Drosophila melanogaster: one gene and its partners. The protein of the gene in region 4 interacts with the protein of the main gene of each other region in a pairwise test. Each region holds a gene or a part of one and is shown on either strand. Other genes may lie near its edges.

Region 1 (7,580 bases), on a different chromosome or scaffold from region 4:
GTTAAAACGAACTAATCTTAGCTTATTTAAAGATAATATTAGAAATATAACGGAACCAGTAATACTCCATTGAGAAGCAGGTACATAGTAACGGTTGCACTCTTTTCCAATTGCAGAAGAGCGAGTAGAGTGATGAGCGAATCTCTATCTTCTCAAGTGGAGGAGACCAAAGTGTCCGATGATGATGGTGTAAAAGAGAAAGCTGAAGTGTCCACCGCCAAAGATTCGGCGGAAACGGCTATGGAAGTGGAGGCAGATGACACTGGTGGTCAGCAGCCGGAGCAGAGTGAATTGTTGGATAAGGAGAAATCTGCCACGGTGGATATAAACACACTCACTCCCTCGACGCCCTCACAAACCCCGCCACAACTGCTGGCCGTCGAAACTGCCACATCGGGAAGCACGGCCGTCATTCCGGAGAACATCCTGTCCCCGCCCAAGTCAGAAACTCAAACCGATGAGACTAACACGGCAACATCGACGTCCTGCTCCCCAGCCTCTGACGGTCAGCGGTCGCCGGCGGCGGATCAACAGTCATCGGCACCACCGCCACAGGTACAGGCACAGGCCACGCCGGCGCCGGTCAATGGCTCCGTACCAAAGTCGGGGAAACCACTCTCCACAGCGCTCAGCGGCAAGAAGACCAGCAAAGCGGCCACTACGTCACCACGTGCATCCAGATGCCGCAAAACCAAGGCGCTGCCCATGTACGAAAGCGAAATCAGCGACAACAAGATGGGTATCCGACTGTGCATCAAGAAATCTGATGCCGGAGAAGGCGCACCTGCTGGTGTCACATCTCCGCCAGTTGCAGTTCCCGCAGCAACAAAAACTGTGCGCAAGCGCGTCCGTAAACCAAAGCAACAGGACAGCGATGAGGCCGAGTATGAGCCGCGCAAGAAAAAAGGCGGAGGAGGTGGTAGTGGCGGCGAAAAGAAGGTTTCAACGAGTCCGGATGCTGCGGAGGCGGCTGGCGATCCAGTCGAGCAGAGTGTCTGGGCTCAAAAGCTGCCCGAGGAAGTCCTATTCAGAGTGAGAATTAAACCAAGCAGCATATAAATGGTGTTCGTAATATGAATTCATCTTACAGATCTTTGAGCATGCTGTGGATACACAGGGCTGTCTGCCCACCCTGTTTCGCCTTGGCAGAGTTTGCTCGCTCTGGCGGCAGGTGTCTCTTAGGCCTACTCTGTGGCGCACTATGGATCTTACCACATGGGTCAAAGAGAAATATCGCACCGAACTCAAGCTCAAGTGGTTTGTCGACAACCGCTGCAGTGCCTGTACAGACTTGAATGTTTGTAAGTTGAGAAGTATGGTCTTGAGACTATAATTTAATTTTAAAATATCTCCTTTCAGCCAATTGGAAAATATCAGACATAAATTGCTTCCTTGCCAAATTGTCAAGCGGGTGCCCGAACCTTGCAGGCATTACGCTCTCCGGCTGGAAAGGTTTCACTTCGGATCATCTTACGTATTTGGTGGATAACATGCACAAGTTGCAGCGCTTGGACTTAAGTTCCATCAATGTATGTTGTGGCATGTGTTTGCGAAGCTATATCTGATTCAAATTTGTATCGCACAGGTTGAGATGAATGCCAGCAAGAGCGCCGTGGGTGTCAACTCCCTATGCAATGCACTCCAGACCATGGGCAGCCGTCTAACACATCTCTATTTGGCGCACAATCGTCTGGCAGGAATACCACAAATAGTCGGAATTCTTTCGGTGAGTTCACAACGCTTTTACAACTTATTTCCTATGACTTATGGGCTTCTTTTTCATATTGCAGACGCACTGTCCGAATCTAACATTATTGGATCTCTCGAACGTGACCACGCAGGCCACATCACACGGTGTACTCCACATTGAGAAGTTGCAGCGTGGCTGCCAGAAGCTAAAGGTCCTGCGTGTGACAAACTCTCATATAACGCCAAGCACGGCATCAATGCAGGAAATTGTAAGATTCGCATTTCAATGTTCGAACTATGTTTTAAAAGAAAGCTTTTGCAGATGGACTCACCTGGTTTTCCGGAACTTGAAGAACTGTCCGTGGCTGCCTTAACAGATGAATCCCGCATCATAAGCGACGACCATCTGCAGCGCATCCTTAAGAGCAGCTCCAAGCTAAAGCTACTGGACGTACGCAACTGTACACGACTGACGCACGAGAGCCTAATCCGCTTACCTGCCTGGGATATCAAGCATTTATTCCTGTCAGGTTGCTCAGTCACACGAGATATGGGGTGGGTCTAATTAGCATTGTTATGCAGAACGCAGACTAATCAAAAGTTTTCCCAACGTAGGTCGGGTCTGGAACTCATTGCCTCAAAGTGGGCGCACAGTCTCATAGAACTGGATTTGGCTTGGGCGAATATGCAGCAGCCCATTGATAATGCGTTGCGCGCCCTAGCGGAAAAGGGCAGAGATTCGCCGTTGGCGTGAGTATATATTGAACTAATGTATCTATTGTGTGCTAATATATATTATAATTTATTTCTCCCCTGCAGTCATTTGAATCTATGCGGCTCCTCTGTTTCCGATGAGGCGGTAAAGGAAATACTGACGAACTGCCAAAATATGAGCTCCATCAACTTGGCATCGTGCCGTGGTCTGCCGCGAGGCGTCAAGCGCTTGATGCAGGGACCGCAGGAGCTAGGCGAACTTCGGGAGGTTCTGGGGGTGCAGCTGAAGAGCAGCAGCGGGAGCAACTAATCCAGTCAGTGGGCAAGTCCACACATCGGTTTTATTGTTGATCAGGCGGGCCAAGTTTAAATGTAATTTAAATTGTTGCATCCCTCTTCGCGCGAAAGGCGTTAAGCGCTTTGTTGATTTTGTAATGTAGTCCGCAAACATATTGCAATATTTGCATATTTGCAATCGCTTGCATCTTCCAATAATGCTTATTTTGTTTATAGGCCCTAGAGCGTAACTACTGTACTAGCATAGTATTCTCTGCACAGCGGCAGCAGCGAGTTCCTCCCTTTTCTGGAGGTGCCCGCATTAGATGCTGTGCGAATAAGCAACCTTTTGTAAATGCAATATGTATTCATAACTAAGTTGATTCGAATTTTTTGCAGCGCGAAAATCATTTCCTTTTGAAGACAACCGTTGCAACGATTTTCAATGATTTTTTTTAGTATATATAATGGTATATATATATATATACATACTGATTTATTGATAGTTAAGTCCGACCATTGAGCGTTTGTAAAGTATGTATACAAGAATTAAAAATAAGTTTAAAGTGTATAATTCGCAATACAAAAAGAATATATTTACCATAAAGTAGTCGTCAATTCAAAGTCGCCAAGGCAATTTGTAGAATGTTTTAATCCGACAAGAATGTACATATTGGCGTTTCCGATTAGATGTTTTTATATAAACGAAGTAACCATTTATAAAGGTAACGCATATACCACACATACATAACATAAATTAAAACAATTCAATTGTTAAGCATTACTAGCAGTTAAGAGACGGCAATTAAAGGTACATTTAATTTAAAATAAACGCAAACATTTTCAATCTACACCCGGCATTATCCATCTCTTGACACAGCAAAACACACCGCTCAGTCGGGTTTATAGTATAATTTTATTCAAATATGCGGGAGATAATATTGCATTACGAGCTATGTACGGCCAAGACAGCAATTACAGTACGAACCCACTTTTGGGTTCGAATACCTCAGTCCTATATCGTATCGATCAGATCATCTAGTTCTTCTGCAGCTTATCCACGTCCTGAATGTAATCAGTGCCGACCTTCACGATGGCGGCGCCAGTTCCCAAGCCCGCCAGGGTCGCCAGCAGTGCATTGTCCTGTGGCAGGGCGGACTTGATGAGCGCCCAGGCCAGAACGGATCCCATGGAGAATAGGGTGGCGCCCAGCAGGGCGTACGCACCTCGCTTGTTGTTCTTCACGTCCTTCAGGTGGGGCCTGCCGTAAATGTAGAAGGCACTGCCCACCACCGCGGAGATGAGGAACACGTTCGTCAGGTCCTTCTTGGGCAGGATTTTGGGCACGATCTGGGGGTTCATAACATTCACCGCAAGGGCTCCGTAGCTCACCAGGCCGTGCAGCGGTATGTAGTAGTTGAACACATTATCCCGGGTGAAGGGCTTGAGGCCCACTTTGTCGCATATGCTGCAGGCGTCTTTTGACTGTGTCCCGGCCATTATTATCGGTGAAAATGCAATTAAGTTTTTGGATCCCGGTGAGGTCGACGAGTCTTCTTCTTCTTGTTATGTAAAGAATAGGGCTGCCAGGTCGCGATATATGTGAAAGTTATGTCGGTCTTCGCGGACACTCTGCAGATGGTATATCACTGGTTCTAGGTAGATATGTGTATAAAGATGTAAATGTTTTGACCAATATAATATGTCAATGTCTGAGAGATCCTAATATATAAATGTACATATCTGACAGGGAGAGTACTTGTTATCAAGGGCTTTAACGCTTGGAGCGCTCATGTTAGTGGGCGTTTTGCGTATTTGCATAACATTAGCCCCGATATTTCCTGAATGTACAATTAAAAACAAATGTTATAGTTATTTTCTTGGCTGGTTTTTTAAAAATTTTCGAATTTTTAAGTTTAGTGGTTCCGGAACGAGTCACCTTTCTGAACAAGAAGTGTCAACTCTGTTGAACAGCCGGCACGGTGTGCACAACCAGGTGGCAACACCAGCCGGCGCAGGAGAATGAGTGGAGGAGTGCCTGAGAGGTGGGAGGACCGAATGGGGAGAGACAGAGAGCGAAATAGGTGCGAAAAATTTGTAGTTGCCTGGAAATTCCTCAATTTCAATTTGCAAAAAGTAAATATCAGCCGCCCCAAAGCAACGTCGATAAATGTGCGCGCCCCGCGAGCAGAGAACAACCAACGCCAGCTCCTGAAGCACTTCAGTCCAGAGATATCGCCGAGAGCCACAGTGCAGCAGATCCGTGGACGACATGTTGACGCACAAAACTTGTCAGGCACGTAAGAAAATGCAGGTGAGTGCGCCAATTGAAAACGGGAAGGAAAGCGGACACCTAAGCCCAAACTAATTCAATTAAACCGTCGGACGCCAGGTTTCCTTCGTGATACGGGACGCCGAGGAGAAACAGCACCGGAATGGCGTAAACGCTCTGCAGCTGGATGCCAATAACGGCAAGTTGTACTCCGCCGGTCGCGACGCCATAATCCGTGTGTGGAATACACGGACGGACTCCAGCGAGAAGTACATACAATCGATGGAGCACCACAACGACTGGGTCAACGACATAGTACTTTGCTGTAATGGCAGGAACCGTGAGTTGCTCCACCGATCAGTTTAGGCATTCATTCAAACATTCAATCTTTTGCACTCATAGTTATTAGCGCCAGCTGTGATACCACGGTGAAGGTGTGGAACGCCCAGAAAGGCTTCTGCATGTCCACCCTGCGGACCCATCGCGACTACGTGCAGGCGTTGGCCTACGCCAAGGATCGGGAACAGGTGGCCAGCGCTGGACTGGACAAGGCCATCTTCCTGTGGGACGTGAACACACTGACCGCGCTCACGGCGAGCAATAACACGGTTACCACCTCTAGTCTAACCGGGTCCAAGGACTCAATCTACAGCTTGGCCATGAATCCATCGGGCACCGTGATTGTGAGCGGGTCCACGGAGAATATACTGCGTATCTGGGATCCCCGCACCTGTATGCGCAGAATGAAGCTGCGAGGCCATACGGAGAACGTGCGCTGCTTGGTGGTGTCGCCCGATGGAAACCAGGTGGTGTCTGGCAGTTCCGACGGCACGATCAAGGTGTGGAACCTGGGCCAACAGCGCTGTGTTCAAACCATCCACGTGCACAAGGAGGGCGTGTGGTCGCTGCTGATGAGCGAGAACTTCCAGTACATCATCTCCGGCAGTCGGGATCGCAACATCATTGTGACCGAGATGCGGAACCCTAGTAACAAAACGCTTGTGTGCGAGGAGCAGGCGCCCGTGCTGAGTCTGGGCTACAACATCGACAAGACTGGGGTGTGGGCCACCACCTGGAACTCGGACATTCGCTGTTGGAAGCTGCCCATGTACGACAGGTGCACACTAAATTCCTCGGGCGGAATGGACGCACAATGGACACAGGGCGGCACTGAGGTGGCCTGCATAAAAGGTGGAGCCGCCATCAAGGAGTGCGCGGTGCTGAACGACAAACGTTATATCATAACCAAGGACTCACAAGATCAGGTCGTGGTGTACGATGTGCTGAGAGTTGTCAAAAAAGAGCAATTGGGCGCTGTTGATTTCGAAGCGGAGGTGAAGAAGCGTAATAAGCAGGTCTACATTCCAAACTGGTTCACTGTTGATCTGAAAACCGGGGTGAGTTAAGCTAAGCTCTATTGAAGCTTAAGTTCGTTTATACTTAATTATGCTTTGCAGATGCCAACGATTGTATTGGGTCAGGAGGAAGTGGATTGCTTTTCCGCTTGGGTTTCCATTGAAGCTGGACTGCCGGAGTGCGTCGATCCCACAACAGAGATTAAGGTTGATCGCTCATCAGACCCCTTCACATATTAAATGCCATTTAAAATGCTTTGTTTTTTTATAGATCAACTATGGCAAATTACTTTTAGAAGCCCTGCTAGAGTACTGGACACCACCGCATAGCATACCACCAAACGAAATGGAACCCGATATGCACGGCAATGGCTACTTCCAAGTGCCCAAGCACACGCCCGTCATCTTTAGGTTAGTGACTGTGATATAACCTTATCTGCACCATAACTAATTTCTCAAATTTCTGGCTAAATTAAACAGTGAAGTGGGTGGCCGCACTGTTTGCCGACTTTTGGTACGCGACGCAGCTGGCGATAGCGAAAGTACCCTGCTCCACGAAACGGCGCCTCAGTGGGTGACCGACGTGGTGATCGAGAAGAACATTCCCAAGTTCCTCAAAATACCGTTCTTCCTGCAGCCTCACCCGCAAATGACCAAGCCTGAACGAACGAAGAAGGTAGCCGTCCTTGACAGCAAACAAAACTCATGTTCTAACGCAATTTATATTAAATTTTTTAGGATCGTCTTGTGGCTAATGAATTTATTCAGTGTCGCAAGGTCTGCGAGCACGTGCTTGAAAAGGTGCTGAATGCGGAAACTACCCCAAGTGGGGGCAATGCTAACAATTCACTGCAGAATAGCCAGAGCGATGCTAATTCGGAGGGATCCCAACTGCCAGCTGAGGAACGAATTGAACTGTGGTGTAACGATGTGGTAAGACAAATGGACAAATCTCATTTAAAGGACCTTGTTCACCGCCTTTCCTTTAAAGGTTGTGGACCCCAACATGGACCTGCGCACGGTGCGCCACTTTATCTGGAAGCAGTCGACCGATCTAACGTTTCAGTACAAGACCAAACAGAATTTCAACTACGATGGTAAATAAGAGAGCCCACGCATTGAACAACACAAGAACACCTATCACAAACACAACGCATACTTGATTTCTGCAATTGCTATTGCCTAACCGAGAGTTGTGCTTATATATATCCGCCCCATAGGTTCGATCGGGGATAGCTTGGAGCGCGTGACGCGCAAGTATTGAACGCTGGCAA
Region 2 (7,582 bases), on a different chromosome or scaffold from region 4:
GTGGCAAAGAGAAGAAACGTGACCACCAGAAACCATATGGGTGAGAGGCGTCGTGGCGCCTTCGCCGGCATTTTCTCGTAGGCAGACATTATCCGTTTGTCACTATTGATTCTATTGTTTCGAATCCTGGTTCAGCACACACCGCACGGCCAGTTGGCTCGGAGTTAAGTCGACAACTAACCGAAGATGTCCCAATGCTGAGCCAGAAAAACTCCGCCCGGCAATGGTGCTAATGGCGGGTTTTTGGGTATCTAGAACATCCATCCGTAGTGGCTCGTTGAAAGGTGCTAATCCGCGGGCCGCGTGCATCATCGTTATTGGGCCAGTGCTCCAGTTTCGATTTAACGGTTCATCCAAGCCACCAAGTGCCGCGGCAATTAGCACCATCCATATCACCAATGTAGCCAGTACTACGATCCCATCCCATCCGATGCTAACTTCCATTCTCCATTCAGTTATGCATAATTCCCGATTTTGTTGTTCGCCACAAATTCGTTTTTTTTTTTCGCGGTGAAAGTGTGCAATATGATTCTCTTTCCAGAAGATGGACTATGGAATTTAGGAAATCGTAATTGGAATGGCTTTGTGCCGTTGGAGCACAAAGATCCACGCCTGTGGAGTGGCCGCCATCGAGGTCCGTCGTCGGTCGTGTGCCAGGCGAAGATCACGATCTAGGAAGCTGCATACATGCCCATATTTAGACACAAATCGTGGCAAGCGTGCGACTTTCATTAATGGGGTTGAAAAGAAATCTATTTCTACAATTAAGATACGTTAAGTCAACATCAATGGGGTGTTTGTACATTGGTGAGATCGCCTTAACGATTCGAAATTTGAAGACAACACCATTTTAAAAATGCTAATACACAGTTTTTTTTGGGAAATTGGTATACTACACAAAGTAACCAAAAAGAAAGGATATCGTATTAGAATATTGTATACACATATGAGCTTATCATAGTTTATTATATAGATACATATAGGTAGCCACCTATTAAAACTCATATCTTAGAAAAGAAAGCGATGTTAACAATTTTATTCTTTAATGCGAATTGAAATGAAATGAAAATTGCTCATGTTATGAAGTTAGTATTTAATCTTAAGAGCGCAACTAGAAAAGTGCAATCACGAAGTACATATGTACATATGTACATATGTATACATATGTATGTATGTATATTCGATGTACTATCTTACCTTCAAATCTTACATACACATAAATATGAATGTATGTATGTATGTAAATATGTATAGACCTCAACTTCTATCGATTTCTAGACTTTACTGAACTATTAATGCGTCATATGTTTACCGGCGAAACGCAGCGTGGCAAACTAGTTTCGTTACCCCCAAAATTGTTTACTCGTTTTTTAGACCTCTTGCTTGTTTTCCTCTAAAAAGCTCGATTGTAAATTTTATTTGTTGATATTGCTTTGTTTGAAACCGCGGCGATAATGTTTATCTATCGATTTTGTTTTACTTTTGTAATGCGAGTTTAACGAATCTTTAATTTAGAAATACATTTAATAAAAATAAAAAACCGATTCTAAGGCACTTTTAACACGCAATATATTGCAATGTTTAATTTTATAAAAAAACAGGTTTTTCATCACCTTCTATTTGTTTGAAGTTTGGAACACCACATTTTTAGATAGATCAATGATTCAGACGAAATGCTATTTAATGAAGATAAGGAATATTTATGACTAACCAAAATGCGAATTTAAACATACATAAGAGTCTTGGAATTTTAATTGTCAATATGTTCGAACAATTTCATTAATATGCATTATAGCAAAACCACCTGATCGAGAGTCTGTTTTATTGTTTACCAAATATCAACAACGCAATTCAAAAAGCCGGCAAATGGCGTTTATAGAGAGAGAGAGAGCGAGAGAGAGGAGAGAATTCCATTAGAGTGGACCTTTCTGGAAAAGTTTGTTCGGTTTATTTTTGTACGTGTGCTTGTTTGTTTGTGAGTGGAAAATAACATAGCTTTTGTAATTTTGGACACCTAATGTAAAAATATCGTTTAGTATTGAAAGTCAATAAAAGCGGCGCAATATTCATAAATGCAACCTTACACGCAAATTTAAACCGGAAGAAATGATGCAGGAATATGTGTGTGCAAGTTTAATTACCTGTGTAACTGGTGAACTTTCAATGGAAGGTCTCGGGAATATTTCCGTTTGCAAACTAACATACATACATTACATACACAAATAAATATGTTCATACATGTTCTCTTTTTGGTCGATCGCTGTAAACAAAGAAAAAAGTCGACTGCAACTGCTTTTGCGATAATCGAGGAGCTGAGTGCAAATGAGTTCAACTAAAAGGCTATAAATATGCACAACAGCACACCAACGGCATTCAAAAAGCTCTCTCGCTTGGAAAGGTGCGCTGCAAATGCAAATGAAAATAAGACGACCAGGCTATTCAGTTTTGGTTTTCTCTTTATTTTATATGTATTACCTAAGTCAAACTTCATTATTTGAAACGCTCTAAGGCTTAGCAACTAAAACTTGCAAGTCTGAATTAGTTTAGGAATATATTAGAAGCTAAGAGTAGTATGTGCCTTTCTTTTTTTGTGTTTGTGAAATTATAAGCGAAATAAAATTATTATAATGTTCACAAAGTTTAGCGCCGCATGAAAAGCCAATGCACAATACAAATGCAATGTGTATTTCCAGCTGGCTTTTGTTTTTCTTTCTTTCCTTCCAGCAAAACTGCTGCTTGTTCTTCTTTTTCTTCTCTCCTTTGCTTTTGCTTTCCTTTTAAATTCGAAGATTTCTTTTCTCCTTTCAGCGCGGCCCCGTTACTTCTTTCTCTCCTGTTCCACCGCCTCCGTCGATGCCCTGCATCAGTTCTTGCAGGCGGCGGCTTTCTTGTTGTTGTTGTTGGTGTTCATCAGCTTGGTCAGAATCTTGCGGGAATGACCGGAGGGATCGAAGTGGTTGGTGTGCTCATTGGCCTCCCTCTTGTTGCGCTGCTTGCCGCTGTGTCCAGAGAAGATGTGCTTGTCATGGTCGAAGTTGTAGTGCTCGTACTCATCGAAGTGGGCCTCGGACATAATGGCGATTTAAGGTTGCAAAACTAACTGCGTTCTTGGTTGGTGTCTGCTTTTTGTTTCTCTGCAAACTTGCAGGCTGCTTTCCAAATTTCTCTTCTGCTTTTTTTTGTTCACTTTTCGCTGAGCTGCGAACGGAATTGAATTTTTTCGGTCGAGCAGCGGCTTTTATAGGCGCGCAAGCTTTCTGTTCCGTAACCAAAGCTCTCTCTCCGTCAGAGTTGCCGGATTTAGCTAAAGAAACTACTAGAAGGGCATTTAATTGTTGCTTACGTGTAGTTACTAAAAATATTTAATTTTTCTATAACTTTCTACTGAACTTTTACAAAATATATTTGCTCTTTTTTATGTAAAAGAATTTTTAGTTATTAAAATTCATAGTTATTGGGCCTGACAACCCTTTTGCGCTCAAGAGAGTGCCTCCTTGACAATTTTTGCTGCGCAATTTAATTTTTTGCTGTTTACAAAGTGCGCGGTAAACAAAAAAACTGAAATCGCCAAACATATTATTTCGCCTTGTTCATTTATTTTAATAATTTAAGAACTTTTAAGCATACACACGTTCCTGAGTGGTTACATAACACACACCCACCTTGGCCCTCCGCAAACGACCATCAAAGTGCATTTACCCTGCATTTGTTTCTCCACCCAATAAATATAGAATTAAATGCATCATATGTTCTGGATACACTGCTCAAAATTTGTTTATTTTTTTACACTCAACAATATTTGAATGTTAGGGCACAAGAAACAATTTAGCAATAATTATAATTCGAATAACATTTTTGATTTACAAAAGATATACTCATAATGGATATTTATTTTGGTGCATTAGAACCTGATCGGTTGACCCACTTCCCTCCCACCAGGCAACGCATTTGTTTATTTCTGAATAGCGAAAAGCTTTCAGTTTGTTTTGGTTTAATGGATTTTATATAAACAAATGTTACGTACATACATATATACATAGCCTTCTGGCGTTGATAAGGTGCTAACTATCGCTCTAGTTAGTCATTTGGCAGGTATTCGTTCTGAAAGTTCGTCTTCAAACGACGCAATAGATCGTAGTCACCATCTTAGATAAGATAGAACGGCCTCAACAATGTTGTTTCAAGAACCTGCCACAATATACCACTTTATTTACAATTCGTTGGTAGCAAATCAATCTTTAGATTTCTCGATGGTTCTTTTTTAATGGCTTTAAAAAGAAACTGGGTTTCCGTGAATATTCTAGATACAATTTTGTTGTACTAGAACTCAGAACGAGAGATCCCACGTCTCATTTTGTAAATATAGCAAATGTTCTAAACTTGCTGATACAGTCTCTTTTCAACATAGTTATTCTAAATATTTACTATTGACCTTTGCCTCACAAATCTCTTTCTCTGAGAAGTTATGAATGGGGTAACCTTCCGTTTTATTCCTATTCTACAGTCTCCTTGGGCAGTAGTGTTTTCAGTCGCTTGTCAGGATTAACATTCCTTATAGTCTTGCTCTTAACACTCTTTGGCTTCTTCTTGGGTGACGTTTCGATCACGGGAAGCTCAAAGTCATCGGGAAAGCTACTGTCCACCGTTTCCGAGAGCTCCAACTGCACCGGTTTCTCTGTGTGAACCCGCTGCACGTGCTCCTTCATTTTGTCGGAGCGATGACTGCTGAATCCACACAGCTGGCACTTGTAGCGGTTCGGACCATTCTCCGTGTGCTTGAGGGCGTGACGCTTGAGGTTTTTGCTCTGGCTGAACTTGCAGCCACAGACCTCGCAGATAAAATCGCGACCCTGTTTGTGAGTTTCAATGTGCAATTTGAGGTTCTCCTTGCGATTGGCTCGATGCTTGCAGCCTGAAACTGTGCACGCAAAGAATTCTCCGGTGTGAAGCAGTTTGTGCGACTTGAGGGCCTTCATGTGCGTGGTGCTATAGCCGCAGACGTCGCAGAGCATTTGCTTCTCGGGATTGTGGACCAGGATGTGATTGCTCAGGCCCTGCTTCCACTTGAAGCCCTTGCCGCAATGTGGACATATGTGCGGCGTTTCCGTGGAATGCTTAGGCTGATGGACGAGCAGGGCAGCTCGTGTGTTGAAGCGGATGCCGCACTGTAAGCAAAAGAAGGGCTTACGCAGATCACCAGAGTGCCGTCGTAGGTGAGTGTCGTATTCCCGCCAGTCCAGAAAGCCGACTTCGCACAGCGAGCAAATCAAATGGGAGGGCTCACAGCTGCCCATGTGCTCGATCATTTTCTGTACCTGATAGCACTTGAAGTCGCAGCCAATGCAGTAGTTCACTTTGCTGCTGGACTTTACAGCTCGCGGGTTCTTAAGCTTTAAGGAAAAGGCGAATATAAGTTACGGCAGTGGCTCAATGACATATTATCCACCTTGAAGTAACTTTGTCGATTCTCAAACACAGCCTCCGCTTTCTTTTCTGGATCTGGATTTGGTTGCGCCTCTCCAGGTGCTGGGATCTCCGTTGCTTCCTTCGCCTCGCCCAAGGGCTGCAACTGGTAGAGATTCAGTAGTTCTGTCACAGCCAAAATTTGCGCTAGCTCCCTAAAATGCAGTTCGTGCTCCTTGGACACGGACACCAAATCCTCGTAGAAGAAGTCCACAATTGTGTGCAGGCATTGGGTGCAGCTGAAATTACGGATGGTGATCTTCAGCGGATTGTGAATGGAGAACTGCTGTTGCTTCTGGTTAGAGTTTATAAACTGGCTCTGAGCAGCCAGTACGCAGAAATGGACGCTTAAGCTGAGGGAATCATCCGAATCCAGTTCGAGGAGCAGGTCACAGAATTGTCCGGTTCTTCGCTGATTGTTTAGATAGTTCGATACCTTGGAGTGTAGCGGCTGGTGCAGAGTGGGTATGGATTGCATTGTCTGTGAGTGCAGCATTTCTGCAGCTTAGATAATGCTACTAGCACTCGATATAAACAAAATAATCAAATGTTTTGCTTTAGGACGGCTAAACAGCTGTTCAACAGTGTGACCAATATGCGCTACGGTGTATTAAAATACTGACTAGTATTTTTCGACCGTTACTTTAAAAATGGGAATTTAAAAGACAGTTCTTAAATATTTGTTTAAAAAACTTAATTAATTATTTAATTATTATGTAGTCAGCACATACACACATTTACACATTTTTAGTTATTTTAAGATTAGATATTTTTAAAACTTATTGTTTTAGATTCTTAGAAACCTTTAGAACATTATAAAAATTGGTTTTAAAAAATGCTTTTTAAAACTTTCAACTTTCAAAACTTCAAAACTTTAAACCTATAAAAAAGCCAATGAACTTTACAGAATATCAAACACCGTCATGGGTGTTGAATTGAATTGTTTATTTATGTTTTGACACTCAAACATCAGCGACTTGCAGGGAAATTGGAAGAGTTAAACAAATAATAGGGCCCGCTTAATAAGCTCTTCTCAGTTCTGTTCGAACATTTGAGCGTCAGTTGAGAGGAGACGTTGGTTTCGGAATGTCGGCCACACGAACAGATCGGTCGCTTTTGCATTAATTTATTAGTCGGTGCGGAGTTAAATCAAATCATAACGCATCCATTGTTTAGCTTCCTATAGGAAATACGCTTGCTTAACCTCCGGCAAATTTGTTTGTGTTCTGAATTACCAAAGGCCAACGAACATTACACTGCCAATTAAAGTCGAGTGCAAATAAATAGGCTGAGAATTTGCCCACCCACTATTGTTTGAAATCTTATCGGCTTCGAATCGCGGTCAAATGTTCTTTATACGCAGTCATTGCAATTGTGCTGAAACCTAATCCTTCGGTTAGCATAACGGCTAATTACTGGGAATCCCAAAGTAAATAGAAATTTAGCTTAATTTACACATATCTTTCTCGCTAAGCTCCCCCGTGCCAGGTTCCAATTTTCCTTTATAACTGGCGCCCCCATAAACAGCACATAGCATAGATAAGATCTACCTGTGCCAAGTTATTTGGGGTCTGGGTCGCAGATCATTGAGTGTGGAGCTCTCGACGCGAACGGTTGATCTGGTCTGATCTCTCGGGGTGTCGTGTTTATATTACTGCTCTGATTCCGGAACGCCGATTAGCGTCAGTTGCAATCACCGCGAATCAGCAGGGTAATTCAATCAGAACGATATGGTGGGAAAAGTTCTACGCCTTGCACTGGTGCTGCTGCTCCTCGCCTCCTGGACGAATGAGGGACGTGCACAGACCGAATCCTATGAGAATCCCAAAGCGCTCAAGGTTTGGCTGACCATCAGTGCCCGCAAGCGCTTCCTGGAGGTATCGTGGAGCAATGCACCGGCTAACAAGGGTGACCAACTGCTCGTGACACGGGAGGATGCACTCAGCTTCCAAAGCCAACTGCTGCGCAAACACACTCCGCTGGCGGGATTTCCCAGCGAGGAGGGTAGTGGCTCCGGCGATGGGTCGCCCAGCTATGTGCCCAATAGTGGGTTCACCGCAAGACCGGCGACTAAAGCGGCCAGCAAAGAGGAGGAGCAGGAGCAGTACTGGGTGGCCAA
Region 3 (8,164 bases), on a different chromosome or scaffold from region 4:
CCAAACCGGAATATTGCCGCATTATTCTTTCGATATTTTTCTGATTGTTCCGTGATTTTATTATCACACGTTTTGAGGATCGGACTGCGGGTGTAGTTTTTTTTTTTGGTCTAAACTCCCTGCTTCTCTGATGACAATGAAGTATTATTATCAAATGCTGTATCAGCTGATCCATGCGTCGCTTTTCATATTAGGTTGGCTCACAGATTGATTTTCCGACATTTAAAAGTGCAAAATATAAAAATTGTTTATACCGTTCTGGCGGTGTGGCAGCCGCACAACGCCACCAACATCTCTTTACCGGGTACACATGGTCACTCTGCGCGCGCATTCGTTTTTTGAGCATCATACAACGCATTATTGGAAACATTAATTAATTCAATTTAAGCATTAAAAGACATCGTGGAGCTAAGTTGTATAAGTTATTTGAGGAATTATTATTAGGTACAACTTAAAGTACAACAACACGCAAGGCGCAGTGCTGCGACTTAAATTCTCTGTGCGGGTGTATTTATCGATAACAGCCGAAACCGAATCGGTAAAATTTTAATTACGAATGTAACGGTCGTTGATGATTTCAAAAATGCAACAACAAAGCGGCAACTTCGTATGGAAAACGCAAAACTAATTGAGTTTTCTAAAAAAAAACTGCGGATTTATTTTTTACTTCCCATTGTCCTACGCATACATATAAAAAAGTTCTTATTTTCCTGAGCATAAGCTCTCGTTTTATTGCAAATTAACTCAACTACGTTTTGTAGATAAACAAATAGAAACAGTTAACAAGACGGTACTATTAATCTTGGTATTTTCATGTGGATGTTGTTCTACATTTTGGTAACTGATCAACAGAACGATAAAACTAATTGATTTCTAAATTTAGAAAGATTAGAAATGTGTTGTCTAATTTTAATGCGTACCATACGGGCAATTACCTGAATTTTAAATGTGTGCTATTAATGGATTGCTCATAAAGCACATAGTATATGTTTGTATTGTACCCAAAAAAACTGAAATTTCAAGCCAAATCGTAAATATAATTGTTTTGAAAACAAAATAAAAACAAAAAAAAATGCTATAGTCGAAGTCCCCGATATTTTTGAATATTAGTAGAAATTAAAAACCAAACCATAATTTAAAAATTGTTCGAAAGTGTGGTCGTGACAGTTTTGGGTGGTTTGTGGAATATTGATCCTGATCAAGAATATATACTCCATATGGTCGAAAACGCTTCCCTCTGCTTGTTACATACTTCTCAACGAATCTAGTATACCCTTTTAACCTGTGTACCTTTCTAGTGTCTTTGCTTTTAACGGATATATTGATCGCCAATAAAAATCAACTACCTCTTTTTCTTTGCACTTTTAGTTAAATTTATTTTTTGTTTAGTCCCGGCCATCGCAACACTTATCGTAGATGATCTTGGAGGAGCACGCTTCCACTGTCTCGTCGAAGAAGTGATCCCAGTGGCAGGTTTCCTCCGTCACCTCCTTGTTGTCCACACACCGGATGTAGTTGTGACAGTTATTGCTGCTGCTGGTCACCAGCATCGTGCCGCGTCCGTCGCATCTGTTGTGGGTGCACACCACTGTGGTGGGATTGGCGCAGAGCTGCCGATCCTCGTCGAAGAAGTAGCCCTCGGGGCACTGCGTCCACAGTGGATCCAGGTCGGCGACGGGATAGAGGGCCTTGCATACGAAGTATCCACGGCAGGTGGCTTGGTCGGATTTGAATGTCATTGTTGTGCTGCTGGTGCAGACGTTCTCCTTCGAATGGGCGGTGCACTCCACCTTATTGGCTTCCACGCAATTGCCGCTCTCCACATCGAAATACTCGCGCTTCTTGGAGGTGACAGTGCAGCTCTTGGACGCATGGTTACCGGTCTTGTCACACTCATAGTAGTAGGCGCAGTCCTTCTCATTCCGGAACTTCGTATTTTCCGCCACCAGCTCGCAAATGTTGTTCACATCCACGCACATGGAGTCCACGCCGTACAGGCAGGACTGAGAGCGCTCATCGAAGTGCTGGCCTACGGGACACATCCCCGCCAGCGGTACGCCGTTCATGCAGTAGAAGTACTTGTGGCACTCGGTCGGATCGGCCACCCATTCGCCATCCAATCCCTCGCAGCGATTGCCGCAGTACTTGTTGCTGTTGGCCAACGTGTCCACGCAACTACCCTTGCTGGGATTGAAGGACTGGTTGGAGGGGCAGGTCAGGACGGTGCCGTTGCCATCGTAGCACTGAATGTACTGGTCGCAGGTGCCGGGCTTGCGAACCTTGGTCCCGTTCTTGAAAAGGCGACACAGCTCCTCGTATTCACCGACACTCGCCGAAAGAGCTACGGTAGCCAACAAGAGAACGCATCCGAGAAGCACTCCAAGTTTGAGGTCTACGAATGATATACATATGATCGCGAGATATTAGATTGATACAGCACACCTTTTGAAAAACATATAGATATGCTTAAAAACCTTTAAAGATATACCTATAAAAATGAATATGAATGAACAAAATATCTAGATTCTACATTTTAATTGTATCTTTAAAAACGCATGCAAGCTGTTACTTTTCACTAAAAATAAAGGCTGAATCAGGGTGTATAAGTAAATATCTATGACGGTAAATTAATGGGTTCATAAAACTCACTTAGCATGGCTGATTGCTGGGAAACTTTGGTTTAATTTGCAACAGAATAGATCGAGTGGTTTGATGTGGCCTCGGGAACCAATTACGCGCGACTAAATGGAGTTTCGTGAATGGAAGAATCTTATATTAACTAGGAGTCATTATCGTTGCCACTGCTTCTGCTGATACCAGCGCTTTATTGCCTCTCTTATGAGCAAATCTTATCAATGTTGTGCGAAAGGAGGTAAAACCCTTCAAGTAGGTCGTAATTGGTGATTGAAATCGATTGAAATCGAGACAGCTGACTGCAGATTCCTTAACGACTCACTTTCATAGTAAATTTTGGCAACTTCAGTCGAAAAGGAAAGTGCCACTAGTTAATGAGGTATACCCACGGTAGTTACGAGTCAAATGAACCTTCTGTTGGCCGTTAATTAATTGAACTATAAATATATTTATCGCTGATGCGATTAAACGGTCAGCAGTTATTGTGCCGTAAATATGACAACCTTTTAAAATATACTGCCTTGCTATTTCACTGTCGCTTTCGATAGGTTTTTGTTTGGAAAATCAGAACTTTTGAAAACATTGATTGTAACCAACGAATAGGACAGTGATTATCATTTATGGTCTCCTCGGTGAGGCCATGCTATTCCATCGTTACCACCTGCAAGAAAAGTTTCCATGATTGAGTGAATTCTTAAAATTCTATTTGTTCATTTACCTAGTTTTCAGCTGAATTGTTCCAGGAATATTAAACAAAATACAGGTGTTCTTCACTCACCCATCAGATATTATTTATTCGAATTTCGAACTAGAACTTGTTTAAGATTATTGTTCTTTTTGGTAGCTAATCTTAAGCATTAGAGCAACGAAAACAATCTACGTTCTTATAAAAACGGGTAAAAAAACAATATATCTCAACTACGATCCTCGAGTTACAGCAAAGATACTGGCTTACAGCAGAAACTTGTCATTGTGCATAAACACGAACTCGCTAGAGAGCCGCGTATCTATATCTATGACAATCCAGGTTCCACAGTCCCCGAAAGAATCCAAACTAGTGCACTTCATTACAACACTTCCTTAACCAAATATCACATTGCATTCTGAGCTTTATTGGAAATACATGCCTACGTCTTGCACGCGGTGTAGGTCTGGACACTTGGAGTGCAGGCGCCCTGCTGGTCGTCGAAGAAGTAGTTGCCGCAGGACCTCTCGCTCACGGTTACCCCGTCGGAGCAGCTCAGATAGTTGCGACAGCCCTTGGTGGCACTAACGACAAAACTAGCAGTCCGACCGTCGCAACGATCGTGGGAGCAATAGACCGAACTGGGGGTTATGCACATCTGGCTGCTCGCATCGAAGAATCTGTCCTGGGGACACTGGTTCCACACCGGATTGGGGTCCGGGGTGCCATCCTTCTGCTTGGCGCAGTAGAAGTAGCCGCGACAGGTGGCTTCATCCGCGACGAACTTGTTCTCGTAGGGCTTACTGGCCTTGCCGCAGACATCCGTGGGCAACGGATGGGCATCGCAGTCCACCAGAGCCTTGGACACACACTCGCCCGTGCTGGCCTGATAATAGGTTTTCGAGCATGTCTTGTCCTTCAGGACGCCCTTCTCACAGACGTGATACATATTGCAGCCCTGCAGATTGTCGAAGTTTACGCCGTTCTTAACAATGCTGCAGTACTCGAAGGTGCTGGTGGTGCAATCCGATTCGTGTTGGCGGGAGCACATCTGGGTGGTGGCATTGAAGTGCGTCTCCTGCGGACAGGTGCCGTACAAGGCCGTCTCCTCGTCCGCACAGTAATAGTAGCCGTAGCAGGACTTGGGGTCGGCCACGAATTGCTTGGCCCGATCCGCGCAGGATATCGAGCAGCTGGACGTGGAAGTGGACAGTGACTTAACGCATTTGCCCGTGTCCTTGTCGAAAAACGGAGTAGATCCCGTGCATGTACTGTAGTAGCTGACGGAATCGATGCACGTGATCGATTGACTGCAGGATTCGGGATCTCGGATCACCGTATTATTGGAGAACAAGCGGCAGATGTCCTCATTCCGGCCATTAACCACATCTAGGCCTTGAAGCAGTAGCACCAGTGCCACGCCCAGTATGGCACCAAATTCTGCAATTTGAAAAAACAATAAAGTTAGATTTACACCACTGGCAGTTTGCAATCCACTCACTTTCCATTACAGCTCAACTTTGGACAAAGCATAAACTCGTACTGAATCTGAACGTCGACCTGCGATTACTTATAAATATCAGAGGATAAGCAGCAATCACTATTTGCTGGCAAGATAAGCGGATTGGTTTTTGAGGGGTATTCAACTGGGTAAGATGGGTTAAATAAAGATGAATAGAAGTCATTTGTTAAAAGCTCGAAGATTACAATCAAATGTATTGATTTTGCTTAGGGATTTGCTATATAATATTTTTGAAAAGGTAAATGATAGAGCACAAAAAATGGGAATGTTTGATAAAATTGTATTTATAAATTTAATGTTTTTAAGGAGCATTCATAAAATTTTACTTCAGAAAAAATTAATTATATTTTTCGTTGCTAAAGTACTGGGTGATTTCTAGTCGTAGTGAATGGTGATTTTATAAACAAGTTGGAGATTGCCAATTGGCTACCGGTAAATTAAATAGGAAGTAGATAAGTTATCATTTCGGCCAAAAAATAGTAATAAAATGAAGAGCAAGATCAGCTGGTTTAATTCATAAGGCTTAGTGGGTTAATAGAGAGCTTCCCTTCTTTATTATAAAAAAAAAAACATTTTTAGTACTCTACCAATTAAATATAAAAAGTAAATAAGCACGTAGCTTGAACTATTTTTTAAGAATTTAAATTACTTCGAAAATGCCTTGTGATTTGGAAAAAGTATCGAGTAAAGTGTTTAAATGTCATTGCATACTTATGGGCGAATTTCTAAACGGACAAAACTCGCTTTTAGGCGAAACAATAAAATAAGGCGGATAGATTTAAAATAGTTTAACGGAAAATAAAACTGACTAAAAAAATGGGGTTTTTGTTATTAAACATTAACATCAATTATTTTTATAGATTATATAGATAGATAATAAAATTTCAAAATACTTGCATATAATTGTACTATTTAATTATGCATACAAATAAATAAATATATATAACTCATAATTTCATAATTTCATAGTGCGATTTATTTATTTTGTATTTCAGTTCAAACGGTTCTTTTGGACAAGTTATTAATATAAACATTTGTAGTTCGGTAATTTTTCCCCAGAACCTGATAACCTTCAGAGGAAAGTCTAGTCAAGTCAAGTCAAGAGTCGCAGTGCGATTCAAATTGAGATATCTAACTAATGTCGTGTTGCTGAAATGAGTGCCGAGATACCAGGGAAACACCACTGAGTGATCAATAAGAGCCGTGACACTTTCCCGCCTCCTCGAGCTTCTTCGAAATTAAAAAACAATTATAGACAAAGAGGGTTCGCAATCAGCAGCTGATAATCCAAATTCCGGCGCGGCTGTCAACGTATAAAAATATATATAAACTATATATACATACTAAACTAAGTATGTATGGTGTCCGCTGGCCAAGAATCGATTTGAGCTTATAAGCCAGTCCATTTTGGCCGGGTCCGCTAGTTTCACTTTCGTCGTCCAACGCCTTCGAACCGCCTTCAAGCTAACCCAACAACTTCGGAGGGATGCAAGGTGCGTGGTTTACCCCAGACCTTAGAATCTTATCTAGCATTAATTTCGATACTAACGCCCTACTGGCGGCTGGCTTATCTGGCTGACAATTTTTTAATTACCCACCCAGTTCGCGCCGCGAATTGTCAACTATAAAAACGCAAAGGCTGCAATTGATTGAGTTAGTAACGAAATCGGAACGTTCGCTTCGGTCGTCTGTCTATCAAGTGAATTTGTCCCCGAAAAATATTAGCATTCCAAGATGGGAGGTACGTTGGCTCGAAGAACGGATACAGTTATCTCAGGTGCACAGTATTCAAGACGTCTTGCTTCGACTAAATTTTGAAAAGTGGTTTCAAACATGGTTTTAAGGCCCTGAAATTCTCCTGCAAAGGAGATGACTTTCAAAAATGGCTAAAATGACTTTCAAATTTCGATTTGTTACTCAAATTGAGTTTTTCTTTCGTCCTTAATTGATTTTTTATCCAAAAAAAGGGCTGCCGTGTTGGCTACAACAAAGGCTTAACCAATTTTAGAGACGCTAACACGAATTTTGGATTGAAAGCTATCAATTTTGTCGTTTCTAGCATAATTTCTTTGCATTATTAAGTACAAACAAAATAGAAAACTATTCGACGATTACACATGTCTATATTTTATTTAATAATTCATAGTTCGTATCCCCCTGTATCCCCCATTTAGCAATCAATATGAGGATCTGTGTCGTGGCCGCATGTCTCCTAATGGCATCGCAGGCCACCGGCTACACGATGGATGATCTGTGCCAACAGTGGTCGGGCTATGGATACATCGGCAATCCGAGCAACTGCCATGCCTGGGGATACTGCAAGAACCAGGAGGTTGTGGCCTGGGGCACCTGTCCCAACGGCTTGGTGTTCAACGCGCAGGCCGGCAGCTGTGATTACGCTAATACCACGGTGTGCTCCACCAGTGCCGTTGAGACATGCTCCAACGTCAAATCTCCCATGTATGTGGCCAATCCGTTGAACTGCACCGAATACGCCTACTGCGATGGCACAGGCCAAATCTCCTATGGCGATTGCGGCACCGGCGGCGTCTATTCGGCATCCTCCACAAAATGTATATGGGGACCCGCCTGCCCGCAGGACACCATCTGTCGGTTCATGTTGTCCAACATCTTTGTAGGCGATCCGAACCAGTGCGGCAACTACATCAACTGCGTCAACGGCTATGGCACTTCCGAAAAATGTTCCAGCACCGCCAATCCCTACTATAATAAAGCCACTGGCAACTGCCAGTCGACGAATCCGTGCACCGGCGAAGATTCAAACAGTGGAAACTCTGACCAGTTCACTGTTGGGCAAACAAATGCAACTGCTTGTGACGAAGAAGCTTTTAAAGCAGCAGATCCACTTACTGTAAATGGGGAATCTGTTGACTATAGGTACGTTTCTGATGGTGTCACCTGCTATGGGTACTACTACTGTGCAGCAGTAAACGCCACTGGCTATTGGAACCAATGTCCCACCGGTACCCAATTCAATGCTGGCAAGTGCGTTTCGCCAGCCTCCTTTGTCTGTACCCATAACCGATGTGGGAACGTTAACAATCCATTCATGGCAGATGAGGGTTGCAAGAACTACACAATCTGCTCCAGCGGAATAACCGGATCATGTCCCACCAATGCGCCGTACTACGACGAGGTGAACAATATCTGCACCACCAAAATTCCCGATTACGCCATTTGTAATTCGACGGCTAGTACATGAGCATCTCCTCCAGCCACGTCTGTTTGCCGAGATACCTTTTATGAAATATATAAATAAATACCAATGCTGAAGGCATTCAAAAGAAACTAATAAAAATGTT
Region 4 (8,946 bases):
ACTGTAAGTTCCGTCCCAGGCCGTCCGAAAAAAAGTATCTGACGGGTTTCAGTTTCAAATGCATAATTGGGAAGACAACAAAGAGCGTCGAGCGACTGGACTGACGGAGAGAAGAAGATGATATAGGTGTTGAGGCTGCGATGTAGTAACAGACATCAGTTCAAATCTTTAACATTTTAGTACGTACACATGTATTTCTTTACAAGGCCAACTGGCCGAGCGGTTTACTGACTGGGATTTTGGCTTTTTGGTCTCGGATTTTATTTCGTTACTTTTTGAGATATTTGCAATTGGCCTGGTGAGAGAAATTCAGCATTTGCGGCATTTACATTTCTAAACCTCTTTCTTTGATTTGATTTATTTTAACGACTTTTATATAAGTCTCATCTGCCAGGGCGGCACTAAGCAATTTGCACAGTAAGAAAAAATTATGGTTTCCCGTTTGTAGAGCCGCATAATTGTCCAGCTCAACACTTTTACTTTCCCAGCAAGAGCAGCCGCAGCAGTGGAAAAGAAAAAGCAATGAGAGATAAATGTAAAGGGCCAAACTGGTTTGAACCCATATGAGTGGAGCATCAGGGGATCGGCGATCGATCGAAGCCGATTGGAGCTGAGACCCAAACTCGTGTCGCACTTAATGATTTTCGATCATTAAAGAAAAAATTGCTTTGTATGGGGAGGGCCAAAGAAAAATCAAACACAGTCGCACGAACCTGCGCAACATAAAAATCAATTTATAGGTCAAGTTGAGCGCAGCCAACAAACAGGGGGGATCAAAAGAAACACAGAGGCGCGCGGAGGGTTTGCTCGTGTATACGAATCTGTATCTGCAACTGGCTTTCGGAGTTAACATTCAGGTTCAGACCGCGACTTTTACTCCGGCAGCATCTTGTCTAATATGACAAGCGATGATGCAACATGCCGCGATTGGTTAAATGCGTAAACAAATCTTCGGTAAATGGAAAGCCGCTAAAAAAAAAAACACCAGAAAAAAATAAAGTATTAATAATAAGACAATAAAGCACCGATTACAGCCCGCTGATCGATTCCCGGCTGTTGTGGGTCAAGTTGAAAATGCAGCGTGCGTTTTTAAACTTTCAAGCGAATACCAGACTGCGCGCGACTTGCACGCGATTGAAATCGCAGGCGATTTCCTAACCGAGTTCGGAAAAAAACGCGCCAGCAACATGTGCACCAAATGCACTTGCCACACCGCAACAATAAGATGTATGCGGGGCCTATATGCATCCGCATTTGTGTGTGTTTCGCCAGAGAAGTCTTGACTCCGGCAACTTTTAAAAGCAGCTAAATCGCGTTAATTTGGCAATCGAGTTGTATGTGGTTCTTGCTGCCCAGCCGCGCGCTTGTCGTTGGCCCCAAATCGCCAGTAATTAGTGCAAGACAATTTTTTTCGAGTGTATGTTGTTGTATTGCTGCTGCTGCTGCTGCTACGGCTGTGCTGCCGCAAGGAAGTGGTGTTGTTGCTCTCGGGGGCGGTTTACTACGCTCACTGAACGCAGCAGCGTTTCAAGTTGCAAGTTGTTGAAATTCACACAAAAAACAATCAAGATAACTCTTTATGAATGCATACATTTTAAATAAAACACAATTTGTTTAATATTTAAAATATTACAATGAATGAAGATCAATCTGGTCAACAGTCAAGTTAACTGATTATGTATCAATATTAATTAACTAATATACATTTTATTTGGGCGTGTTTCGTCATCTGAATGATTTGATTATGCAAATAAAGTATTGAATAGATTTAATTTTCCACATTATTCACTAACTATTTAGGTCAGTCAGAAATATGGTAATATGAAGAAGTTTCAATAGGTTTTGGAAAATTCGAAACCTTTGAGCATTTTTATTTTTTGGTTAATAAGATTATATGATTACCAATTTCTTTCAGTGCAAAGCAGTTTTTGCAGCAACTAAAAACTCAGCCAGTAGTCAAGTGCACAGCTGCAAATACTCAACAGGTTGGCTAAATGTGCGTAAGTGTAAGTGAGTTCCCCAAATACCATTTGAAAGCCTCAATTCGGGGGATATATTTTAGCTGATTCATTCTACATTGCGTTTGTCAGGCCGCCAATGTTGATTTTTTCGTGAACGTTTATGTTAGACGATTGCATTAAAAATGGTTCCATACCATTTGGATTCAGGCATTCAGGCATAATATGCAATTCGAATTGGGAATGTCGAACTTTGGTTTTCGTCCCTGCTGCCATTTCCCAGCCTAAAGTTCTCTGCCCCCAAGCCCGTAAATCACTAGCCACACAATTAAACAAGCAATGACTTTTAGCTCCTCAATCACTTTACATTCGCGTATTTATCAGGTTGTTTCTGTCCACTAATTTAAATTTTGCTTTAGCCCCACAATGTTGATGTTGATTTAATTATTTTGTGTTCGGATTAAATGTGTCGAAAATATATTACTGCAAATGCGTTCGTTGCTTTAAAATGGAATTTATTTGTAATTTATTGTTGTACGACAAGGAAATTATTTAGAAAATATTATTAAACATTTTTAAAATACTTAAAAACAAAATCGAACAACTTTAGCACCTAAGTCCCATCTAAATTCGCACTAATGGAAATATGTTTAATCACGAATTCGGTATGACAGCATGGCCCACTAAATAATTTAATTTATACAAATAAATTCATCCAACCGACCCAGTTTAAAGCGACAAATATGTATAAATTAATTGTTTTTTCGGGAACGAAGAGTTTGTATAAAATTGCAAAAAAAAAAAGGCACTCAAAGAGCTGTAAAATATGCAAGCCAGCGTGTTTGAATAATAATTTAAAAGCTGTTATTTTTAGTGTTTTTAACACCTTTACTGGCATAACTTTTCTGTCTAATCTCCAACGAGCAATAATTGAATTTCAAATGACACTTACTTCAATCACGGGCCGATAAGAGTCCATAAATGTAATCATTTTCAGGTACTCTCCGTTTAATGGTCTCTTTACGTTTATCTACCTCGAATTCCTCTCTTCGCTTGCGTTATCAGTTTTTAAGTGTTAATTTGCTCGGGAATATACACAGCCAGTAAAAAAATTGCTGAGAGACACGCACTTTTTTTATGTAGAACAATAAACCTTTGCCCAAATGGCATATTCGCAATTGAAGTGAACGAAGACTAGCTAGCTACTGAGAAAATCGCGCATACGCCGTGTGGAGCCAAACAAATCGAAATGGAGCAGCGAATGCACTGCGATTTCAGTCACATGCGGCAAGCGTTATCTCACACACACACACACACACACACACACACACACTAAGTACTAAGAGGGCACTCTGCCTATGGTTTTGTGTTTACTATATGCTCTCTACATGATTCTCTTACCAAAAAACAGCTGAGTGCCGAGCGGCAGTCAACAATAAAGCGACGTCAATGCGTCTGAGACTGGCTCTCCAATGTAGCTAACTGGCCCACAGGGAATGCAAGCAAATCGGCTGATTAAGGCACATTTTTTTTTATTATGATCACTTGGCGGGGGCTGCGCAGTTTGGCAGCTGGGTGGCAGTGGCTCTGGCTCCAACAAGCAGCCTCAAACAACCCAGACCCGATAGCCCATAGCCGCCCATAGCCAACTGGCAACTAGTAAAATTCGCCGCCAGCGCCTTTGCACTTTTCAGTGTCAAAAGAGGCAACACAAAAATGCGGCAAAAGTCCCAGTCGAAAATAAAATCGAGGTGTAATAATCATTGTGTAAGAGGCCAAAAGGAGAAGAAAACAACTCGAAGATTTGAATAAGTTTCGATTTCTGGGTTGCCTGCTTATTTTTTTTTTTCTTTTTTTTTTTTTTTTGTGAAATGGTGCAATGCCAGTGATCATTAGCCAGCGGTAGTAGCGGCGGCGATTGGTTAACCCACTGGGGTTTTTTCTCTCGAATTTGCAGAGCTGCTGAATGAATATGAAAATCACTGGATTTCTACACAGCAGCAGCATCTGCAATGATGGGCCGAAAGCATAAGTAAGGTGGACGGGACAAATGAGTCGGCCTGGCCCTGACTGGCTATCATTTCACCTGCGCTCCGATCGCCAGTTATCCCATATCCCCGGCCGAGATTCAAGGTCAGCGATGCACTGCATTTCCGTGTGAAATGTTGTCATGCCAGTGAGCTGGTGAGCTGGTGAGCTGGTGAGCTGGTGAGCTGGTGGGCTAGTGAGCTGGTCAAAGCCAAAAGCCAGCCTTCACTTCACTTGACCGCCAGCCAGTGATGTTGCTGGTGTAAGTGCTGCTGCTGCAACTGCGGACATAACACAGCGACAGCTTCGAAATAAGTGCAGCACTTGCAGTTTCTGTATGCACTTTTGGCGGAGCTCGAAAGCGAATGGCTCTAGCAAAACAGAACAGAGCAAAACGCTCATGTTTTGTGGCAGAAAGCGGGGGAAAAGTGGGCGAAAAGCGTGGAAAGGTCTGCGCGGAGTCGGCAAAAATGCATTTGGGAAAAAACAGTGGAAAACCTTGCTAGCGAATGTGTACTTGAAAACGAAAACCAGTTGCTGGCGTGCGGTTTTTTTCCATTTCCAAAGAAAACGAATAAGAACCAGGAATGGCTGGTGCTCGAGAGGTTTTCTCGATTAATAATTTGCTCAATTAATTTTAACGGCTGCATTGCGGATATTCATTATAGGAGCTTTATTTATTTTTTTTTTTATTATTAATTTCTTGCTTAATAGCAGCAGCAGCACACACGAGTCGTGTGCAAAGGGTCATTTGTGGGTTGTGGGATTTAACGGAAAGCCCAAGTCAACGTACGATCATGTATATTTATTTATTCAGGCTTGCATGTTGGGGGTCGGCATCGAAATTACTGGTTGCAAAGGCATTTTAATAAAGGAGGTTTCAGTGGCATCAATTTTCCGTTGAGTCACACTGGGTGTTCGGTCGGGAACCCCCGCTACTTACCATTGTGCTAAAATTCGCTTCAACAGGTACTAAATGCGCGTTTATATTCCGTTTGTTACAAGGAAGCGTACTGTATTTATTTATTTTTTCTTTTTTTTTTTTTTGACTAATTTACAGAGATTCTCTCGACTTTGGTATACGAATTATCACTTTTTAGCGCACTATCCTTGTTCGTTTCGTTTCGTTTTTTTTTTTCGTTTTTCTTGCTTGTAGGTTTTTAGTTATTGTTTTACACACGCACACACTGTTTGACCATCGTTATACGGTTTTATGGTTTCTACATCACTGTTGCGGGGAACTGCTGCTGATGCTACTGCTGATGCGACCGATCTGCCGCTGCTGCTGCTCCGCTGGACTTTACTGGACAACAACTGGACAGCGACTGGGCGAGCGTGCGCTTTTTACATTCAAATCAAAAACACTGAAATAAGTTTGATTTCACGCTGCCGCTTTACTTTTATACCGCCTCGCAGTCGTAGGAGCGGACTTGGCGCAGACGTCGACGCAGATCGTCGGCGCCGCCGACCGCTCATTTTCGGCGAGCGTGGCGATGGCGCTGGCGTTGAGGTGAGCCGAAGTCGAAAGCTTCGGTCGCTAGCCACAGGTTCTGAGCAACAGGTTGTCGATGTGTGCTCTCGCTCTGACAGCCGAAGCGATCGGGTCGGGCGTCAGGATGCCAGAGCGAGAGCGAGATCGGCCAGCGGCCCTTTGGAATCGAATTCTTGGTATCCACCAGTGGGGGTATCACCCGCCTTTGCACCCACACCCAAGTGCGGCGCTAATTGCCGCCAATCCAAATATCGGAGCGGTACTTTTGCCGCGTCTTGGCAGCGCGCATGATTGCACAGTTCAAAGTTCGGCAAGAATGTCCGTTAATTAACCCCTGCCCAGGCCCGGCCCTTCATATCGGAAAAGTGTGCAAAAATTAACGTAGCCACAAATCAAATCAAATCAAATCAAATCACGGCGAGGGAGAGCGGCGGAAAGGTTGCCAGCAACAAAGCCCAATCTTTGGATACGTATGCGGTAAAAAGCAGAAGAAGATGGGGCTGACCAAACCAGTTTGCCTCTTGGGCTCTTAAATATTTATAATGACCAATACTTGGCTTTCCTCCGTTTGCCTTCGTGATGGCCAATAAATGGCCAAAATGCGCCGTGAACTTCTGAAACATACAAATTCCCGAATGGGAAAAGCGGCTACCGAGACCTGGATGTTGCAGGCAACCTGGCGGATACTTAATATTTCGGAGGACCCGACGCTTACTTGTTATTTGTGCAAGCTTGAAACGTTACGTAGTCGATTTTTGTGAGCTAAGCAATTAGATCGAACTTTGACAGCGGCTTGGTTGACGATTTACTTACCCTCAATTAACGACCCTTCAACTACCTTTATTCTAATTTACCTGCTAAAAATCTCACCATTACCCTGCACTTTTGATGCGTTTTTCGACAAAAAACCCAAGCAATGCAACAAAGCAAACATTTGCATTTTTCGTCTCAAAGTCCGCTGCATGGCCGCCGAGCACAAGATCTTTTTGCGGAATTCTAACCGAATAACACGTAACTGACCATGTAATCTAGCCGCGCCAAATTTACATGTGCAAACAGTCGGCGGGGGAGACGATGAATATGTATAGACATGTCGCCCTAAGCTGATCCCATCTCACAGATCCGAAACACGCGTCTGCCATATTGGGGGAAGTATGAATACGATCGATTCAAGGGCTTTCTAGTGGCTGTATGACTAGAGGAAAAGCTCACGATGAATTGACCATGCTAGATCAGAATGATCCTCCTTATATGGACAGAGATGGCAGGTAATATTTCCGCTTGCTCTGAAATTTTCCATTTGATCATCAGAATTTAGACTGCGACTGTACTCACCAGACATGGATATGTTTTTCCCAGTTAGAATGCACTTCACTAGTCCTTTAACTAATGCCGCGCACGACAATATATTGTAACACAAGTTTTAGGTGCCGGCAAGCCACGCCTAGTTGTAAAATTTATGTGAACAAAAAATCAAAATAAATAAGCACTTTATACCCAGAGATTCAACCTTGAGCATTTGCAGAAAATTTACATACAAATCGAAATGTTAAAGCAATCTGAAAAATATTCATAATCTAATTAAATTCATTAACGAAAGTGCACCAGTTCACCATTTGAGTTCAGTGTGTTAATTTCTCAATGCGATTGCATAATCGCAAAGTTGAAGGAACTTGGCCGCGACTTCCGATCGATTTGATATACTCCGTTTATCCACCTTTGCCGACCATCGATCCAACCGCAATAAACGGGGACCTAATGACCGGAACCATCAGGTTATTCAGAGCTCATTCCCTGGCGGAGTACAATGACTTTTTTCCGAGATGCTTCTCATCGTTAGTCTGGCTTTTGGTTTTTGGCGAGCACATGCGGCGTATACTTAATAGCGCAACCTTCGGCCCAGAAATATCGACTTCAATTCAAGTCTCAATCGGACGAGCCGCGCCAGATGACGATCGTAATGATGCCACGCAGATGAACCACGACCAATTTTGGTGGTGGTGTGGTGGGTGTCGATCGCCGGCCAAAGCCATTGTTTATTGGGCCAAGCTTAGGAGAGTTTTTGTGACTCGGATCCAGCTCTTTGTGGCGCTTGTTTATTTTTGGACTCTCGTTAGTATTATTGGCCTTATCCGCACTTGGCAATAATAAAAAACCAGAGTTCAAGGTTGCAAATCTCGTAAAATCACCCTAGCGATTATATAGCAAGGCAGTAGAATTTACATCGGACTGGTGCTAATGAGCATATTGGTAGAAGGCAACTGGTATTATCATCTGGGAAAAGCTGCAATTGGTTGGACTGCACCTCCCTGCAGTTGTGCAACCGAAGATGATTGATGCGTTGATTTCGCGATGCCGGAGTCTCAAAAGCCCTCGAAACCACAAAAGCAGCCGACACGTTGGATTGCAAAACCTAAACACGGTTCGAAAATTAAAAGGTTAGAATCTACAAAATGGTACCGAAAATACAGTTCCATACGGTTCTATATCCTATTCGTATATTTAACAAATTTCTATGTGAAAAATAACTCCATTCAATCTTTATAAGTTAATGAAATAGACTTATATTCCAAATATACTAGTTTATACTTCAGTGTATGGCGGAATTGTTATTTCTGCTGGTGCTTTTCTGATTATTAAATAACGGTTAAGTCAAGTGGCATTTTTCGATTCTGCAAATCATTCTCGCCCGTACATTATCGTGGAATTTGAGGTCTGAGGCAATGCAATCGAAAGTGTGAAATACCAAAGACAGGCAAGAATAACAAACCAATGCACGAGTCATTCTCCTTTCAACCCGCCCCCAGAGAACCCGTGATTATAACTAAATCCCCTTCAAGATCTCCCAATATCTAATACATACACGTATAAAAAAGATTTAAAACAATAAAGTCTGAACTAACACGGCTTCCCATTCAGAGCCACTCAAATTTGTCGACTGCTTTCCGAGCAAGTTCCGATCACATCGATCAGCGACTAGCTCGATCGCCCAAAATTCCACAAATCCAGAGAAGTCGCAAACTGCTGACGACGATGGCGAGTCTGACGAAGACGACAAGCTGGAGATGGCGATGAAGGTGCAGATGGAGATGGGGTTTAGTACGCATATAAAAACAAGAGAGACATTAGAAATTGCGCAAGGCGTTCGTGTTTGAACATTGATCGGCCATCGTGAAAATATATCAAGGTCAGCTAGTTGACACAGAAACCAAACGAATCAGCTAACTAACATTAATTGATGGATCTGTGCGTTCCAAGTCGGGCAATTCAATAGCCTTCCAGCACGGGGGAATTATCTGCACTCCGGATTTGCATAAGAAGTGGTTGAAAATTTTAAATGAATTCAATTAAGCTATATATTATATGCATTTTATTTATTATTTTTGATTGCCCAAAAACACGTTTTCATTCACATGCTAAGTATGGCCCTAAAACTCACGAATAACGGTAAACGGAATGCATTTAAGA

Evidence for each region.
Region 1: the proteins of Elovl7 (region 4) and CG13220 interact in a two-hybrid assay, tested with the Drosophila melanogaster proteins (one large-scale study listed by BioGRID).
Region 2: the proteins of Elovl7 (region 4) and CG6770 interact in a two-hybrid assay, tested with the Drosophila melanogaster proteins (one large-scale study listed by BioGRID).
Region 3: the proteins of Elovl7 (region 4) and CG17147 interact in a two-hybrid assay, tested with the Drosophila melanogaster proteins (one large-scale study listed by BioGRID).

Annotation. Positions count from the first base shown.
Region 1 is NT_033778.4:11,281,097-11,288,676, reverse strand, and holds CG13220 (uncharacterized protein), read right to left. Parts: upstream 4,395-7,580; 5' UTR 4,180-4,394; coding exon 3,718-4,179; 3' UTR 3,579-3,717; downstream 1-3,578. Other genes in the region: Fbl6 (F-box and leucine-rich repeat protein 6), read left to right, coding at 133-1,032, 1,091-1,301, 1,360-1,529, 1,586-1,726, 1,791-1,958, 2,012-2,244, 2,305-2,439, 2,509-2,713; CG9062 (uncharacterized protein), read left to right, coding at 4,952-4,993, 5,072-5,291, 5,354-6,348, 6,409-6,513, 6,578-6,717, 6,787-6,982, 7,045-7,239, 7,298-7,403 and 1 more.
Region 2 is NT_033779.5:12,042,903-12,050,484, forward strand, and holds CG6770 (uncharacterized protein), read right to left. Parts: upstream 3,217-7,582; 5' UTR 3,074-3,216; coding exon 2,864-3,073; 3' UTR 2,441-2,863; downstream 1-2,440. Other genes in the region: CG6785 (uncharacterized protein), read right to left, coding at 1-89; Plzf (promyelocytic leukemia zinc finger), read right to left, coding at 4,494-5,390, 5,447-5,959; PLCXD (Phosphatidylinositol-specific phospholipase C X domain containing), read left to right, coding at 7,194-7,582.
Region 3 is NT_037436.4:20,218,515-20,226,678, reverse strand, and holds CG17147 (uncharacterized protein), read right to left. Parts: upstream 2,748-8,164; 5' UTR 2,657-2,747; coding exon 2,650-2,656; intron 2,393-2,649; coding exon 1,386-2,392; 3' UTR 1,355-1,385; downstream 1-1,354. Other genes in the region: CG17145 (uncharacterized protein), read right to left, coding at 3,762-4,759, 4,821-4,827; CG6933 (uncharacterized protein), read left to right, coding at 6,576-6,618, 7,016-8,064.
Region 4 is NT_033777.3:7,990,491-7,999,436, forward strand, and holds the start of Elovl7 (ELOVL fatty acid elongase 7), read right to left. Parts: upstream 5,363-8,946; 5' UTR 4,933-5,362; coding exon 4,930-4,932; intron 1-4,929. UniProt on the Drosophila melanogaster protein: Catalyzes the first and rate-limiting reaction of the four reactions that constitute the long-chain fatty acids elongation cycle.